2 linked regions of the Notamacropus eugenii genome follow. The protein of the gene in region 1 interacts with the protein of each later gene in a biochemical or structural test. Links are inferred from orthologs where the notes say so. Each region holds a gene or a part of one and is shown on either strand. Other genes may lie near its edges.

Region 1 (9,801 bases):
ATCCATGTGGTCTCAATTCCTGGAAACTAAGCCTTTCTCAATGTAACCCAAGATTACAAAAGCTCTTTTTTTTTTTTTTTTTTTTTGGCCACTATCACTTTTCACCTACCCATAGAGGACTTGAGAATTCAGGAAGACCTGAATTAAAATCGAGCTGCTGGCACTAACCAGCTATGTGACCTGTGGGCAAGTCATTTAACCTGTCTGAGCTTCAGTTCCTCCATCCTGTAAGATGCAGATAGCACTACTTCACAGGGTGGGTTGTAAGGCTCACATGTAGTCATGTATGGAAAATACTTTCCAAGCTTTAAGAGATATGAATACCTGCTATAACTATTCCCTCTTATCTCTCAGCCATCTGACTTTTTTCCCCAAGGTTACTCTTGGCACATTGAAATCCAACACCTCTGAGATCCCCCTCCCCCATCCCTGACCTTGACACCTGCTGACCTCTCTCATCAGTGTTCTTTCCCCCATTAGAATCTTATACTCAGGGATCATCATCCTTTTCCTTTTGTATTCCCAGAGCTCAACACAGTGCAAGCATTCAGTAAATTTTGTCATCATTCATTCATTCATTCATTCATGCACCCTAGGAAGGCTCTCTCAACCCCAGATATCCCATCTGTCTCCAACAGCTCTACTACTTGAAATTCATGAGCTTATAGATTAGATCTTGAAAGAGTTTTAACAGACTGTCTATTCATAGTAGGATCTTTGATCTAGAACTGTAAGGGATTTAAGACACAAAACTCATCCAACTCCTTCATTTTACAGTTGGGGAAACTGAGGTGCAGTGGATAAGTGACTTGCCCTCAGTCATTGAGGGAGTAAATGGTGGAGCCCAGCTTTGAACCACAAATTCTAAAGCCTGTGTTCTTTCTACTGTTACCACACTGCCCACATGTTCCGTTTCCGTTATAAAAAGCTGATTGAGAGCAGACACTCCTTTCCCTCCTACTCTTTCTTTGTCTCAGACCCTCCTTTGACCTGGATGTCCTTCTAGAGAAGACAGCACATTGTTTGGGTCACATTCTAAAGCAGATAGAACAGTAAAATGGTCCTCGGATCATATCTTCCTTCTTCTGTTCACTACCTGTGCAATGTTGGATAAGTCACCAACCTCCTGGACCTCAATCTCCTTGTCTGAAGAATAAAGGGGTTGGACCCAGTGATCTTCGAAGCCCCTTCTAATTTTAAATCTTGAAGCCTACTGTATTGATCTGGGTATGTCAGATAAAATCCCAGGATCAGAGAATTTCAGAGATGATGGCACTGCAGGAACCATTGAGTACACCTCATACCCCAAAAAGAATCCCCTCTTGAGCATACTCCACAGCAGGTCATCTGGCTTTGGTTTGAATACCAAAGTGGAGGAGTGGAGGATCTCACCTTCTCTCTAAACAGCCCATTCCACTCAGCTCTTTGTTCATTAAGCTCCTCTTGATGTGGAGCCTAAATCTGTCTCTCTGTAACTTCCTCTATAATCCCACTGGATCTGCCTTCTGGGGTCAAACCAAGTAAATCTAACTGTTCTTGCACATGACAATCTTACAAGTATATGAAAACAACTGCCATCTCCTTCTGGAGCTATCTCTTCTCCAATCTAACTCTCTCCAGCTCCTTTAACCAATCCTCACTGGGAATGAATTGGGGCCCCCTTGCTTGTCCTTCTCTGGACACTCTCTACTTTATCCAGGTCCCTCCTAAACTGTGCAAGAACTGAACATAATACTCAAGGTGCTGTCTGTCCTGGGCTGAGTCCATGTGGTTCCAATTTCTGGAAACTAAGCCTTTCTCAATATGACCCAAGATTACAGTAGCTTTTCTTGGCCACCATTACTTCTGATCCACCCCTAGAAAACTATAAATTACTTGAGAGCAGGGATCATTATTTTTCCTCATAGTGTTGTGTTTCCTCATGCCTTATAGAGAGAAGTCAAAATTTTGCTAAAAACAACCTGCAGTTCTTGGCCCTGGGGAATCACAGAGCTGTGGGAAGCCAGTACCTCTCAAAGTCATAAAATAAGCTAACAGTTCAGCAAACCCCAATTCTTAAGCCTACAACTTCTGGTTTATGCTCAAGTTCAGAACTTGGTGGTGGAGGAGTGGGGGCAGGGGGTGCTGTTAAAAGCCCTAAAGGGTAATGGGATGGGCTAAGCAATTACTTACTGGAAGGCAAGGGGTCCCAGCTCCAGAAGAGTTCAGGACTACATGGGGTTGTCTGCAGGGTTCATACTTGGTCACCCCTCGAGTTTATCTTTAGTGATACCCCTGGTTCTTTTTCACCTTCACCTTCCACCTCACCTACTCCTTCTTCACTCAAGAGCCATCCCTCAACTGACTATTGTGCTATATAGAAATAAGGAATGAAGCAAGTGGAGAGAAACTCAGAGGCAGAGATAAAATGTCCTCTGGTGGGCTCCTGCCGGAAATCAAAAACTTCTCTGAAAACAACCTACTTGGAAAGAACGAACTTACAGGTCATCTAATCCAACCCTGGAAGGCAGTTGTTATATTAGACAAAGCTGGAACTTGAGTTCAAATGCTGCCAATGTGATCTTGGACAAGTCACTTAATCTAAGCCTCAGTTTCCTTATCTGTAAAATGAGATGACCTGTAAGGTTCTTTGGTCCTAATCCATGAAACCTGGGCTCTGAGCCCTCATCTCACACTCACACATGTAATTTACACATACGCGATTGTGTGTGACACACAACTGACACCAGGTCCTTGTGCATCTGTTGCAGGAATAGAAAAATCTCTTGGCCACATGTCTTTCTCAAAGCCAGTACAACCTGACGTGATGGGGATTAGATGTGGCGGTTTAGTTCAAGTCTCAGGCTTGGAAGACCGTGGATGCTTTGACCATTTGTATGTAATTGTACTTTGTACATTAGCAGGCGGAATGATCTGGCTATTACTGGAATTCCAGAAAGGAAACAGAAGCCCCGAGGTACTAAGTAACTTATCGTGGTCACATACTAATACGCAGGGCAGAGATTTGAGCTCAAGCTCTCCGACTCTAAAGTCAGTGCTTTCCACCACAAGTACTTCCTTAAGATTTGCCACATGTCTTCACAACGGTCCCGTCAGGGAGTCAGTGCCAAGTAATATCATCCCCATTTTATAGAAAAGGGTAAGATGTAACTTGAGCAAGGACAAAACATCATAGATTCAGAACTGGAAGATTATTTGGTCCAACCACCCCTCCTCCATTTTTCAAATCAGGAAACTGAGACCTAGAGAGAGATTCAGGGACTTTTCCAAAGTCACAGCAGTCATAAATGGAAAAGACAGGATTCCAGTGCAGGTCCTGTGAAATCAAGGTTAGGATTCTTTACACTCAACTATGCAAAGGGGTCAAGCCAGAATTCAGAGCCTGGCTAGGTTCACAGAGAGATTAAGCGATCAGGCCAAAGTTAGTAGGTAGCAGAGTCGGAATTCGAACTCGGGTCCTGAGTCTCTTTTCACTAACCCCACTCTTATCAGCCCCGTGACCAAGGCAGGCAGAGATTATTAACCCCATTTTATGAATCAGGAAACTGAGGGGAAGACCTACGGAACTGGACTCCTGAGTGCTGTGGTTACTGAACATAGATAAGTAACCTTGAGAACCCGGGACCAATGTCGGGTAGCTCAGCTGTCTCATGCTCTCCAGTGCCGAGGCTGCTTCTCTATCCAGAATCCCCCACTCTCTGCTACTGTTGCCTCACAGGGTAGGAGAAAATTAAGATACCCAAAATTCACGCACATGTTCGGGTAAATGACAGTAACCAGATTCGAACCCCAGCCTACCGACCCTGTTAAACACACTTTCTACCACACCACGCTGTCTCAGTCCACAGCAGCACTCTGGAGCCAGAGTAAGGGGACGGGGAAGGAAGCTTGGCCAGTGCGGCCCAACCAGTCCTGCATGTCCCAGGATCTCCGGGGAGAATCAGCACTGACTTACCTGCGGGAGGGCCCCGACCACTCCAAGGAGCAGCAGCCCCAGGGCAGCGCTCCGTCTAGTCATGGTCTGCCCAGCTAGAACGTCACCAAGGAGGAGGAGGAGGAGAAGGAGGAGAAAAAGGAGTTGGGGCGATCGAGCCTGGACTCCCCGACAGCCTGACGCGTCCGCGAGCGAGCACGAGGGGAGCCCTTTCAGCCACCCGCCGGGGGACCCTGAGCTATACACCAATTGAATGGAGCTAGCGGGCGGCGGGCGGGCGCACACGCGAAGCCCAAGTCCAGGTGCTGTGCGCGCTGCAGCCCCGGAGCGCTCTGCTCAGCTGTGCTCCGCCCCTCCCGGGGTATCCGCTTGAGGCTGCTGCCTGCTGGCCAGCCTAGCCCCAGCCGCGACCCCAGCCACAGCTCTGAGCCAGGCAGCCACCAGGCGGGAAGCCGCCACGGACTTGCAAACCAAGGCACGGTTTCCCGGCACTGCGTGGGGCCCAGCGCGGGGCTGTTCAGTAACTTCGAAAGAGCCCTCCTCTCGGTTGGGCGCGGATTGTCCCTCCCCTCCCTTTTCCCCCAACCGCCACCCCCCCCCCTCTTCCCCCATCCTTCGCACCTTTGGACCAAAAGAGATTGGGGAAGGATAAGATTTCGTTGGGTTTCCAGGAACTGGGAGACTTGGAAAGACGTAAGAGAGAGACCCTAAGTGAAGGAGTGATTCTGTTTACCAGTTCACCCGTAATTCTGAGGGACTGGAGCCTCAGGGCTGCTTTCAGTCTGATTAATAGGATCACAGTGTTAGAGCTGGAAAAGAGGTGCCCTGGTATTATTGATAATCGCGTTATTACTATGGTTGACCCGTGCCTTCTGGGAAAATAACAGTGCCCAGCCCGACCTCATTTAACTCAGGCATAAGAAGGCCGGTTTCTGGTTTTTGTTTTTGTTTTTTTTTTTCTGTAAAAGATCTTAGAGGTAACCTAGTTCCTCATTTTGTAAATGAGGAAACTAGGGTCAATTCAACTGACCTGGGTTCAAGGCTCGTCCACGCACCTAGCCTCTGTGTAACCTTGGGCAAACCATCTCAACTTGTCAATCATCTAAAGCATGAAAAGGATTGGACTACTTGGTCTCTGAGGTCCACGGTTAAGTTAAAATCTATGATCCCCTGGCATTAAGTCGTAAAACCCAAATCCAAACTCAGGTCCTCTAACTCTAGAATAGCAGGGTCTTATCCTCTTTCTTTGTAACCTCAGTCCTTAGCTCAGTTCCTGGCACATTGGCAGTCTATTCAGAACACCGAAAGCTGCTTTTCTAGGTTTACTCTGAGCCAACCACGTTGTCTGGCCACGTCTCTCTGGGGCCAGAGATCTCTCTAGGGGTTAGGAGAGTGACGTCTAGCCAAAGGAAGTGGTTCAAGCATTCCCATTGCAAGAGGGAGGACACAGAGGGTTGGGAGAGCTCAGGGAAACAGCCCAGATAATCCTGTCAGGCAGGGTCTGCTCAACGGAGTGAAGTACTTGCCTGTCACAGCTGTTCCCAAGCTCTAGTCCTCAAGACACATTGACAATGGCTAAGATATGAAAGACCAGTATACCACAAGTAACGACAGTTTTTCCTCAATAGCACTAAGATGGTATACAAGAGTGAGCTGTTGCTAGCAACATCTCCCATTTATATAGGCTCCCCTCCATGCCAGCCTTATAAGGTAGGTTATTATAGGTATTACAGTCCTTATTTTACAGATCAAGAAACTGAGGCTCAGATGTGAGGAACAACTCTTACATTCACATAGTGAGTGATAGAGGCTGGACTTGAATTTGTCTCCTTAGAGAGAGAATTTTGCAGTGGAAATAGCTTGGTATAGAGTCATAGAACCATGTTCAAATCTTGTCTCTACCATTTACTATATGACCTTGGGCAAGTCATTTAACTTCTCAGGGCCTCAGTCTCTTCATCTATAAAATGAAAAGAGATGACTAAATGGTTCCTAAAGTCCCTTTCAGCTCTAAATCTATGACCCTATGACAAAGTCTGGAGAGTCAGCATCGTATAGTCAAATGGATAAGAGGAAAGTTCTGGATTTAAGTTCTATATCCTAACTGTGTGACCAGAGGAAAATCATTTAACCTATGCAAGCCCTAGTTTTTTCATTCATAAAATGGAAATAATATTTACCATGGATGGTTGTTGTGAGACTCGGATAATACATCATACTTGTTAAAATGACTCTGGCATCAGAGCACTCTCTTCCAAAACCTTCCTCTAAAACTTCATAGATTTATGAGCTTGAATGAGTCACTTAATTTCCTTGTACCTCAATTTCTAAAATGGGTTCTATGGTCCCTTCCAGCTCTAAATCTATATTCTCATTAAAGCCCTAGGTGAATATCAGCTAATAATAGTGATGACGGTGGTGATGGTAGTGGTGATGATGGCAGTGATGGTAGTGGTGAAGGTAGAGATGGTGGGTGTAAAGGTGGTGAAGGTGGTAAAGGTAGCAATGTTGATGGTGGTGGTGGTGGGGATGGTAGTGAAGGTGGTGACTGATGATGGTGATAGTGGTGAAGGTGATGATGGTGGTAAAGGTGGTAATGGAGATGATAGTGGTGGTTATGGTGTTATAATAGTGGTGAATATGGTGATGGTGGTGGTGGTGGTGATGGTACTTAGTCATCTGGAGGTCTGGGGTTGAATGTGACAAAATATTTGATGATCAATCAGTCAAACAGCATCTATCTAGTTAGTTGCTAATTACCTGAATGTATAATAATATAATATTCATACATATGTACTTCTCTTGACACTAGACTGACTCAGGTGAAATGACACTGAGTGGTTTCCCCATCTGAAGCTGGTTCTGTGCCAAACACACGTATTTTATTTCTCTTTTTGCTGGTCTAATTTCCTGGTTTTTAAGAATGGATGTTACTCCAAGGAAATGTAGCTCTAAAAGAGAGCATTTCAATAACTGTTCAAGGCATCGCAGTTGTTGCTCATCCTTCACTCTCAGAGGACCAAAGGACATCAGGAGGGTAATGTCTCAACTTGCAAGTAAATTAGATTTAAGTGCAGCAGAGCTGTGCAAAGTCATCAGCCTCACTCTCTCATCCAGAGTCAGAGACCTTGGTCTTTTAAAGCGAAGGTCTTTTCCAGGTCTCAGTTTGTCTGAGTCAACACCCATTCAGTAATTTAAGGCTAGGTAAGAATTAAGGCAAACGATGGCCTGACTTGCCTTCACGAAACAATTGATTTGGGAGGAGAAGATCCTCAGAGTTTCTAGCTGAAACATAAACAATTTCTATTTATACTCAGTCTGAGCCATCAAAACCCAAACAGTGAGCAAGTGAGGTTTGATACATAGAGAAGTAGAGCTGTTCTGGAATTACAAAAATTCCCAAATGGAGATGGAATTCTGCCATTTTGAACCATGTCACACACATGGCCAAAGATTAAAAAATTTATCCAGTATTTCAGTGGCCTGGGAACTTGATATAAGCAAAGCTAGACTTGGAAAAATGAATGCTTATCGAAAGTACACATAGCACCTTGTGTGATCTGTGGTTTCATGAAGAAGAATTAAAGAATATATGTCAATATTTGATGAACTCAATTCAAAATCAAGTAAAATAAGTGATTAAGGCAAAATGAGAATGTATTTCATATTAAAAGTCTTATTAAACGTAAAAAGCTGTAAAATCTATTGCATAAGTCAATAAATGTATTTTATTTTGACACATAGAACCCACACACTCCTGCATAATGTGTCTAGTCCTGTGCAAGGCAGAAGAGTATGAAGAACTTTTTCCGTTAAGGAGTTTAACCTCAGCTTTTGGGTTGAGATGAAAGAATAGACCCTTTTCCCCCATCCTCATTACCTCTTAAGCCTCTCCAACCTCTCCAAAATGTATGCAAAAGATAAAGCAATTGAGGTTGTCTCCCAAGTCCAAGACACCAAGAAACTGAATGAGGTAACAACTCAGTGAATAGTAGACAAAAGCTAATTCCTCATCCCTGATAAATTTATTTAACTCCCATTCTCCCACTGGCCACCACGCTCTGGCAAGGTAGCACAAGTTGGCCCACAGGCTTCCAACAAAACTCCGTTCTATGCCTTACCTCCCTGTGATGTGGAAAATCAAAAGTCAGAAATTGACTTTGGCTGGGATGGCAGCCTATCACTCAATGCTCATTCAGAAAACTAAGGAAAAGAGGGACCTGGGGCAAATCTGGAGACCCAGTCACAAGGACTGAAAAAGGGGCAGACTGGTCTCCAGAGGTGTCTGGTTCTATCCCTCTAAAGGTCACTTGGAGGCCAGCAAAGCATGAATTAGCCAATATGAAAGAAAGCAGAGACAGCTTGAAGATCCAGATCCCAGGGAAGACACCATCAAAGAAGGAGTCAGAAAGTGAACAGTAATGGGATATAAGAGAAAAGGATTTGAATTACCAAAGATCTCAGAAGGTAGGAAATTCAATGAAGGATCTTGAGCATATGCAGATAAATTAATAAGAAAAATATTAATAAGAGAAGAGAATATGGCCCCTATATCATTTAAATGAGTCCGGACATCTATTAATAAATATTTCAGAACAAAGAAAAATAAATCAATAAATAATAATAATAAATAATAATAAATCAATATCTGATGATGCAGAGGATGCTATGGATTCCCAAGAAAACTTGGAGCCTCAATAGGGTATTCCCAAATAATTTCAGAGAAAATGAGAATTATGAAAGCAGAATTTATGGCCTGCTCATCAGAATAATTGGCAGAATAGAAAAATTTGAATGCCAAACCTCACCAAAGAGGAAGCAACTGATTGGCAATTCAAATACACAGAAGTAAAGAACTCTGGAAAGAAAGGAGACAAAAAGCGAGAATGTTAAAAGAAAGTGATGTCTATACAAGCAAAATACATTGATTTCAAGGATAGAATACATGCATACAACATCAAAATTATAGGTTTCCCAAAAGAATACGAGTAGAAAAAAACTGAACATAATAATTCAAGAAATAATACAAGAAAATTGGCCAGAGCTTTTGAATTAAAAAAAAAAAAGCGTCAAGTGAAAGAATCCACAGATCACCTCCAGGAAAAAAAAAACCAGAACACCTATGCTACAAACTCCATGACACATGATAGCAAAAGTTTAGCAATTCCAATAACAAAAAAAATCTACAAACGACCAGGAGAAATATCTTCAAATATGACTGAAAGGAAATTCAAATAATATAAGACTATTCTGTATCCCCTAGAAACCACAAAACAGAATGGAATAATGTATTCCAAAGAGCAAAAAGGATGCTCTTTAAGATACATAGTGACACACTCTGCAAACTTTAGCCTAACATTAATGAAAAAAAATGGAAATATAATTTTAAAAGAGGTACTTGAACCATTCCTACAAAACAAACAAAAACAAACCTAAAGAGATGATTTACTTTGCAAACACCCAATTCAGACAACAGAAATACAAGAAAAGTAAACAAATGCAGCACCTAGAAAAAGGAAAGAGATTGGCATTTATATCGTATCTACTGTGTGCCAGACAGTGAACTAAGTGATTTTTATAAATGTTATCTCATTTTATGCTGGTAAGTAGGTCCTATTAACCACATTTTGCAATTGAGAAAACTGAGGCAGAGGTTAAGTTACTTATCAGTAAGAGGCTGAGGCTAAATTTAAACTCAGATCTTCCTGACTCTAAGGCCAGCTCTGTATCCACTGTACCTCTACCTCTAAAGAAGGCATAAGAAAGGGAAGGAAATAAGCATTTATATAATACCTACTGTGTGTCAGGCATGGCATAAAGCACTTTTATCAATATTATGTCACTTGATCCCAGTGAGATAGGGGTGA
Region 2 (9,765 bases), on another chromosome or scaffold:
ATAGATGATCTATATTGTTAGGCATGTATGTGACTTATTTTTTTCAGTTAGTCTATAAGCACTTGAATGAACCTTTCAAGTCTGGCACATTGTCCATCTAAGAGTCTTTCAGCCTAAGCAGGTGAAACTTCTCTGGGAAAGAAATAAAAATGTCCCCAGTCATGTAATCAGTTTTTCTAATCCATTTATACTTCCAACTAGAAAAGTCAGCTTATGGAAGAGAGGGCACAAGGTTTGATTTAAGGATATTTCTACTACTTTGCTTGTTAGGAAATAAGACAACCATACTCAATAAATGCCCAAACATTTCTCTGTTGAAGCAAATAGAAGAACAAACGTTTACAATGGTATTGAATGAGAATTCATAATAGGATAGAAAGAGTACTATGCTAGATTAGGTGACCTAGGGTGTAGTCCTGCTTCTACCTCAAAATGTTGTTTTGTCCCCTGAGCCCCAGTTCCATCTATAAAATTACCAAGTGGGATCTTTAAGATTGCTTTCCAGCTGAACATTCCATGTTCTAAAGTCCCTTCCATCTCTAATATTCTATATTCTAAGCTCCTTTCCAGCTCTAAAGTTCTACATTTTAGTGTTCCTTCCATTTCCAACATTCTATATTCTTACATTGTATGTTCTAATGTGTCTTTTCAGCTCTAAGGTTCCTACCAACTTGAGCCCTATGCCAAGAATATTTTTCGGAATTATTTTTGGCTCTGTATTGCCTGATTGATCTCCATCTTCCTCTTTGATTTTATTAGATGAGCTTTATACATATATGTATACATATATATACATGTGCATTTATATGTATGTGTATACATACACATAGTGACAATGACTCAGAACGGAAGTCATGTTAGGATATTTGAGGGCATTGTCCCATTTGGATGAATATATTCCCAGCTAAAAGTTCTCTCTCAACAACTGCCTGGTTATTTACATTGTTATTATGATATAATATCTGGGTCCATTAGTAAAATATTACTGCCTATGATGTTGCGTGTAAACTATGAAAAAAAGACTACTTCAATTTTCTTGTGATAGCCATTGATATGTGAGGATAGACATTAATTAATTATTCCACAAGTGATCAATAACCTATATAATTAGAGTATTTTGAAAGCCTCAATCCAAAGAAAGCTGCTTTAAAAGTAAAACTAATGTGTCATTTCCTTACAGATTGGAGTCTAACTTTATTTGGGATTGGCCATCACCTTTAACCAAGCCAGGTATATTAAAATCAATTATTGAAATGTGTTTTCACATCTAGTTTGGGCTCCTGACTTTCAAAAACTGACAATGAGGTGTGGCCACAGACAGCTGATTTTTAAGAAACTTTCAGTCCTTTGTCCTGAAGGACCATGAAATGTCTGGCTACTTGTATATCATGTGCTACTCAGTAAAACCAGAACATTTCATGAAACTCAGAATCACCTCAATAGCATTCTAAAATAATGAGCTCTGGATTGCATTATGATGACCATGCTGTAGTTTGCTTTGATTTTAGTTTTATCAACAGTAACGAAATTTAGTTTGGAAGATTCCTTTACAAGAATTGTGCTTTGGACTCATAGTTCATAACTTTTTCCTTCTGATTTTTCCTCTGTTGTTAATAACTTTTGTCTCCCACTTTAGTGGTTAGTGCCCTCCCCCAAAATCACTCTTTGTACATAGCTATGTACATATATGTTATCTTTTCCTACTAGATTATAAATTTCTCTAGAACAAGGACTGTTTAACTCTTACCTTTTTATTTCACTTACTAGCACAGTGTGCTCTGATATATAGTAGAAGCTTATTAAATACTTGTGGATTTCATGATTCCACAATAATAATAGTATTTGTGGTGGTAGTAGAAGACCACAATTATGTAGCATCCTAGGGTTTAAAAAGCGCTTTCCTCAAAGCCCTGTGAGGTAGGTAAGGCAAATATTTCTTCTCCCTAGAGAAAATTTCTCCCTAAATATACATGGGACTGATGACCCCTAAAGTCTTTTCACATTTTGAGAGTCTGTAATACCCATTTTATAAATGAGAAGACTGGGGCTCCAAGAGATTAAATAATTTGTCTATGCTTACCTAGATGCTAAGTGTGAGAGTCTCAGTACCTTCAACTGAAATGAAATAAGAACAACTCTGTACAGGAGTCTGGAGATCCTGGTTATAATTCTGGCTTTCACATGAATAAATGATTTGGTATTGGGCAAGTTGCTTATAGTATCTGACCTTTGGTTTCCCAATTTGTAAAATGAGGAGATTGAACCAGATAATCTTTAAAGTCTTTTCCAGTCTGACTATTTCGAGGTTCAAACATACTATATTTTAATAGTTTTTCTGACTCCGTTCTAAGTAGAGAAAAACTAAGGTCGTCATGGAAAAGTCATTGGAGCCCTCAAAGTTCATGGTACTGGTACTAGTACATAGTACACCTTCCACTACCACCATTGAAAATTAGAATATTTTGAGGAAGGCTTGAGGGAACGTTCCACCTACTTTGGTGCTGAGAAACACTTTTCTCTTTTTTGGAGGGTGGTGTCCTGGGTGTAGTAGATATGACAGGGGAGCTTTCAAGAATGGACCTCAAAGCAAACCTTCCAGATAGCCCTTTTCACTCTAGAAGGGTCCAGCATTGAAACATCCATGTAAAGCCTTTCGTCCACTTCAACTCTCAGGGACATCATTGCCTGTCTTCTCTACTAATGTGACCGTGGGCATCTAATTTCTCAGTCTTTCAGGTTCCCATCAATAATTTGGAGGAAAACCCCTAATATCTGCATTGCCTCTCTCATAGAGTTATTGTGAAAAAAATACCTTAACATAACAAAGAAATGGGAGTAATTAGCAATTTTGCCCTGACAATTAATTCTTGGCTTACCTCCTTAGAGAGGAATCAACTTTTGGATTTAACATTTGAAACATTTAAATGGGTCTTAATTTGCACTTGAGGGTCAAGTCTTTGGAATAGAAGAGAAGTGTATGTTTACGATATCACGTTGACTGCACTCATTGCTTCCTTCCATTCCTCTATGTCTGGACCTTTTTTAAAAAGCTGACTTACAACCTCACTTCCACCATGAACTTGTTGTCTGTTCTGTGGGCTCCTCTCCCTTAACTCTCTGAAATTTTTGAGGAACTACCCGAAAAAGTGTGCCCCTGCCAAACGAATGATTTAGCCAGAATCTGCTTCCTCTTTTCTCTCTGAGTTGTTACTGTTTCTCTCAAATAATTTATTGGGTTTTTCAAAGAATACCTCCAGGAAGAACAAAAAACAACAAAACAAAACAAAAATTAAGACAAGAAGGGGGAGAGGATGCCATTGACTTACCTTCTTCTGAACTACTAAGACCATTATAGTTGCCAGAGTAAAGATGAGACACAGAACCAGGGCAGCTGTGGTGAAATAAAAATAAGTCCGGCTAGTGGCCCTGAGCTGGCTTGTGACTGTGCCTTCAGACACATTCATGGCTGCCTCAAGAGAAGCATTCAGTTGGTGGAGGGACGTTTGCCGTGGTACAGAGGACTTTCTTTATATACCACCGCCCTCCACCTCACACCTTATCGCCCTTGATCTGTTGAGACTCACAGGCCATCTCTGTTCCAAATAGGATTTTCCCCCTTCATCCTGGATCATGTGACCTGGAAAAAAATCTTCACTGTTTGTCGGATGAAGAAAGACTTCTCTGGGGGCGTGAAGTGAAAGACAGCAGGCAATGGGAGAAAGAGATTCATTTTCTTGCCAAGGATTTTGTTGCTGGTCGTCTGGTGAGCTACATTGAAGGGGTCTGATGTCAGAAGACAAGTGGGAAGCAAGCTCACCCCCAGCTCCCTTTGTGTGTGAAGTTGTGTGCACTGACTTGTGTTTCACTTATAGTCACCAGCGGTGGCAGCTGAGTACTTCAGCTAATGCTTTCTTCTTCCAGACAGTCATTTCTGCACGGTGCTCTCCACTTAAAAGTGTTACCTACCCATAAAGCCCACATCTGTTTGGGGGTCAGGAAGACTGGATTTCACAGTGGAAAGGTTATTTCCCCTTGCTGGGCCTCAGTTTCCTTACCTGTAAAATGATGGGATAGAATTAGATGGTCTCTAATGTTCCTTTTAGATATAAATTTTGTTATCCTATAATTCAAAAGAATTAGTTTTACTAATATTAATACCTGTGGTTAGGTTAAAAATGGACATCTCTCATTAAAAATGGGCATCTCTCTCTGTCTCTCTCCCTCTATCTATCTATCTATCCATCTATCTATCTATGTCTATGTATATAGTTATCTATCCCTCTGTATATGACTATAACTCTATATCTGTATGCATATAGCTATCCATATTTTTGTAGGGTCTCTCTCTTTAAAAGCATATTGGAGTAGTGGGAAAAAGTCTTGTATCTGGAGTGAGAGGACCTGTATTTTAGTCCCACCTCTATTACTTTGGTATCTGTGTGATCTTGGGTAAATCACTGAACCTCTCTGAGCCTTGGGATCTTCAGCTAAAAAACTAGAAGGGTTGACTAACTATTCTCTAAGGTCCTTTTCAGCTTCAAAGCTATGAAATAAATAGACAAAATCCTTCTGAGACTTTTGGAAGGATAGGAAGGTTACTGGACTGAGGTCTGGCTCAGTCACCAATTCACTATGAATCAATCCCTTTCCTTCTCTGGGACTTAGTTTCCCTACTTATAAAAATGAGGGGATTAGATTAAGAGGTATCTAAGATCCATTCTGGTTTTGAAGTTCTATGAAAAAGTTCTAATAAATATATCTCAAGGGTTAGGTTAAATATGCTATTGGAGAACATTGTCTCAACAGATACTATTGACCAATAAACTGGTTGACAGAAAAAATCACCTGAACAATGTATCTGACGTTATTGAGTCTGCTGTCAACCAGATTAAGCAGCAGTACTGTCACATTTTCTATACTAAACAAGGTCTATGGAAATCATTTGGTGCTGGCTACACTGGCATGTCAAAGGAGTAACATGACTGAAAAAGAAGGCCACATATGTTCTAATCACCTATTTTACCTTCATGGAAAACAGGTCCTGAGTTTTAAACAATTAATGTGCTTTCACCAGATAATCTGGAAACATCCCAAATAGTCTTCTGGGTGAAGAATGATTTCCTCAGCTGTAATGGAGGGACTATTAACCTTTTTTGTGTTCTGTACCTCCCTCTTTGGCATTCTGGTGAAGACTATGGACCCTTTCTCACAATAATATTTTTTTAAATGCATGAAACAAATCACATAGGATTACAAAGCAAACCAATTATATTGAAATACAATTGTCAAACACTTAAAAAAAACAACCTAAATTCATGGACCTCAGGCTAAGAACACCTAATACTTACGTGGAGTTGATACATGACTGTTGAATGCCTCACTGAGAACATACCTTTGCCCACCTCAGACTGTTCTAAAAGTTTTTTGCTTGTATTCCTTCCTTACTTCCTGATGTTGGCAAAAGGGGTTATTTGACATATTCACTATACTAAGTTATCCAAATACTTTAAAAATAAACTGCAGCAATTAAAGTAGCATTATTTGAGCTTTGGAACTGCATTTTCCCACACTTCATTGCCAAGATTCAAATATACATGGAATAATTTTTTTCTGGAATTAAATTTTAGGTCAGGTAGACAGGTTTATCTAGGGCATATTTGGACATTTGGTTTTGGATTTTCTCTGAACCGTTCAACTGAGACTCTGAGTTTTTTTTCTAGAATTGCATTTAGAATCAGAATTCTTATCTGCTAGTTGGTTTCAAATGTGGCATCTTGTCTCTTTATTGAACCCTTCCCATTCCACTCCAAGTGATTTTATTTGGAGAATACCTTCGGATCCCATGGCTTTCCCAGGGTCTACCCAGCGGCTGAAGCCCAGCTTAGCTAATAGTTTACATTCCCTTTACTTTAATTTTGGACTGGGGCTGTAATTCCCTTGGTGTAAGGAGCTCTTCTCAGACAGACCCTTTCTCTATAACTTCAAGTCTTACAGAGGCATCTACAGGCAGTGAGAGGTTAATTGATTTGCTCAGGATCATAGAGTCATGTGTCAGAGGCTGGACTTTTATCTGGAACTTTTTGATATGGAGGTAGGCATTCCATGATGCCATTCTGACTCTCACATTTCTATAGCACTTTAAAATATTCAGAATATTGGAATAGCTAGGTGGTACCGTAGAGCACTAGTCCTGGGGTCAGAAGGACTTGAGTTCAAATCTGGCCTCAGACATTTACTAGCTGTGTGACCCTGGGCAGCTCACTTAACCCCAGTTGCCTCCAAATTAAAAACTTATATACATAAATATATGTATATATATATGTATATGCACACATATATCTACACACAGAGGGATAAATACAATATATACATGTATGTACACATGTACGTATATATGCATACAGACATGAGGGGAGAGAGAGACACAGAGAGAGAATGAGAATCTTCTTTACGATAGCCCTGTGAAGTCCAGAAAGCAAACATTCTTATGTCTCTTTGAAAGATGAAAAATCAGTCTCAGAGTCATCCATAGGCTTTGCCATGGCTAATAAGAATACCAGTACACACTTACACAGTGCTTTAAGTTTGGCAAAACACTTTCTTCACAACAATCCTGGACAGTAAATATTAGAAGTGTTATTATTCTCATTTTATAGATGAAGAAGCTGAAGCTCTGTATAAGTGACATGGCCGAGGTTTCACAAATGGGAAGTGTTAGACTCAGGATTTGAACCCAGGCCCCTCCTGACTCTAGGCCTAGCCCTCTTTCCAGGACAGCATGGTATCTCAGCCTGCTGCTACCAGAGCTGGAACTTGAGGCCAGGGGTTCTGACTGTAAGGCAAGGGGCTCTTTCCAGTATACTGCCTTGCTTCTCTTTAGAAAGAAAGAAATTAGCTTAATCTCTCAGGACTGAGTCATTCAGTGTCCTTGATTCTTTGTTTCCCATGCAAATGTTTCATTCTGACTTAGCTTGCATTGTTCTCTGTGTTAGGAATAGCCTTTCTTTTCCCCTTTACCTGGTGAATTCATTTCTCTCTTGTAGAGGCTAACTCTAGGGCAGCTAGATTGTGCGATGCATATAGTGCTGGACCTAGAGTCCAGAAGACTTGTCTTCCTGAGTTTAAATCTGACTTATAACATTTACTAGCTGTGTGACCCTGGGACCTTGTTTGCCTCATTTTCCTCATCTGTAAAATCAACTGGAGAAGGAAATGACAAACCACTCCAGTATCATTGGCAAGAAAACCCCAAATGGGGTCACCAAGAGTTGGACATGACTGAAATGACTGAACCAAAAAGTAAAAAGAGAATAACTGAAATGCCACATTCTTCATGAAGTTTACTCTGATTCTGGATCCCCTCCTCTGTCATGACCCTTCCCCTCAAATCTCACATGGTACCTTGTACCTCTCTTGGACCTGTTCCCTCTAATTGTTTGTATGACAGTTGTCTGTGTATGCATCTTATCTCCTTGTGTGCTGTAGATTCTATGAAGTCAGGATAGGGAGTACATTGTACCTAAACTTTCTATCTGCTTATACAGAACTAACAGTAAGTGAGCACATAGTACAGTGCTCTGTACATAGTAGATATTTAATAAATGTTTATTCAATGGGTAAATCTACAATAATAAAGTATTATCATTAATAATAATAACCTGGCTAAGTCTAGTCAACAAGCATTTACCATGTGCCAGTCACTGTGCTAAGCCCTGCTGATACAAAAACGGCAAAAAAATAGTCCTGACTTTCAAAGTGTCCACAGTCTAATGGGAGTACAACATTCAGAAAACTATGTACGAATGAACTATATACAGGATAAACTGGAGATAATACCAGAGGGAAGACTTCAAAATTAACAAGAATTAAAAGGACCTTGCAGAAATAGGACTTTACCTGAGATTTGAAGGATGTCAGGGAGTCTAGGAGGTGGAGAGAAAAAGAGAGTTCCAGTCATTGGAGTTTATTGAATTGGAAGAGAGGTAGGTGACATGGTCAGATTTGAGCGTTAGGAAGATCAATTTGATAACTAAGCGGAGGACTGTGAAAGATGGAGGCAGGAAGATCAGTCAGAAGGGTATCACCATAGTCCAGGAATGATGAAATGAGCAACGAGGCAATAAATCATATCAGAGGAGAGAAGTATATAATTATCTCTTCCATATCACTACTTGCCCTGCCATGATTTCAACATATCATATGAAATTAAATGGGAATTTGGGAATTTGGCAGGAGTTTAGTGGAAGCCACAGATGACACACAAAGGCCAGCAGACAACACAGAGTCTATGACCAAATGCTTAACTCTAGTTTTACAATGAAGTACCATAAATACCCATAACAGAGAAAGAAAAAATTTCAGATTTCTTCTATGGAACAAAGGAGGGTAAAAAATTTTTATGAAGATTTTCTAGGTCACGAGGGCACCATACCCCTAACCCCTCAAGTGTGGAAGGGATAATTATATAAGAAAGATGTTGCACAGCCAGAAACAAATATAAATGGCAAATGATTGGATATGGGAGGCAAAAAAGAGTGAAAAATTGAGAATAATACTAGGTTGTGAGCCTGGCAGGTTAACTGTGTCCTCAATAGAGAAATTAGGAAGAAGGGAGGATTTTTAGGGAAAAGATAAAGAATTCTGTTTTGGTCATGTTGAGTTTAAGATGTACATAGGACATCCAATTTGAGATGTCTAATAGGCAGCTGGAGATATGAGACTGAAGGTCAGAAGAGAGGGTAGGGCTAGATAAGTAGATTTGAGAATGATTTGTTTAGAGATAAAAATTGAATCCATGGGAACTGATGAGATTATCAAGTGAAATAACCTAAAGGAAGAAGAAAAGAGACCCCAGGACAGAGTCCTCTGAGACACCCCCTTCCCACCCCCTGCAATGTAAGCAGGTATAATCTCAATGGTGATCCAGTAAAGATAGAAGAAGTGATCAGACAGGCAGGAAGAGAAACAGAAGCGAGAAATGATCCAAGAGACAAGAGAATATTAAAGGGAAAAGGGTATCAAAGGCTATAGGGAAGTCAAGTAGGATGAAGACTGAGAAAAGGCTATTAGATTTGGCAGTTAATAGCTTTATCCTTCTAATTGATCTCCATGCTTCCAATATCTCTCCACTCCAATTCATCCTCCTCTTGACTGCCCAAAATGATTTTTTCTTCTGAAGTTTTGGTCTGACCTCTTACTTAATAAACTCCAGTGGTTCCCTATGATACCAAGGATCAAATATAAAATTATTTGACATTTCAAGCTCTCCATAACCTGACCCCTTTCTAATCTTTTTATACTTTATTCCTTTCCCTGTACGCTGTGATCCAGCTGACCCTCTTCTCTCCTCGGCACTTTCCTTGGCTTCCTTAATATTCAGCTCAAGTCCTTCCTTCTGCACATCGCCTTCTCAGATTTTCTTAGCTTCTAATGACTTCCCTTCAGAGATTACCTCCAGCTACCCTGTATATATCTTGTGTATAGTTAGTTATTTACATTTATCTCCCCCATTAGAATGGGAGCTCCTTGTGGGACTCGTCTTATTTTCTTTTATTTTTATAATCCCCAGCCCTATAATAATAGTTTAATGTATGCATATTGACTGATTGACCAGCATTTATATAGTGCTTTTGAGAATTGCAAAAGGAGTACATATATTATTTCATTTGGTTTTCACAACAACCCTGTAAAGCAGGTTCTCTTATCTCTGTCTTGGAGATGAGGAAGATAGAGGGAGAGGTTCCATGACTTTCACACAGCTAGTGT

Evidence for each region.
Region 2: the proteins of TNFRSF8 (region 1) and TNFSF8 form a complex in vitro, tested with the Homo sapiens proteins (2 studies listed by BioGRID and IntAct). The link is inferred for Notamacropus eugenii from reciprocal best matches to the Homo sapiens genes TNFRSF8 and TNFSF8.

What each region holds. Positions count from the first base shown.
Region 1 is NC_092876.1:51,537,493-51,547,293, reverse strand, and holds the start of TNFRSF8 (tumor necrosis factor receptor superfamily member 8), read right to left. Parts: upstream 4,402-9,801; 5' UTR 4,019-4,401; coding exon 3,956-4,018; intron 1-3,955. UniProt on the Homo sapiens protein: Receptor for TNFSF8/CD30L. May play a role in the regulation of cellular growth and transformation of activated lymphoblasts. Regulates gene expression through activation of NF-kappa-B.
Region 2 is NC_092872.1:434,233,035-434,242,799, forward strand, and holds the start of TNFSF8 (tumor necrosis factor ligand superfamily member 8), read right to left. Parts: upstream 3,683-9,765; 5' UTR 3,465-3,682; coding exon 3,327-3,464; intron 1-3,326.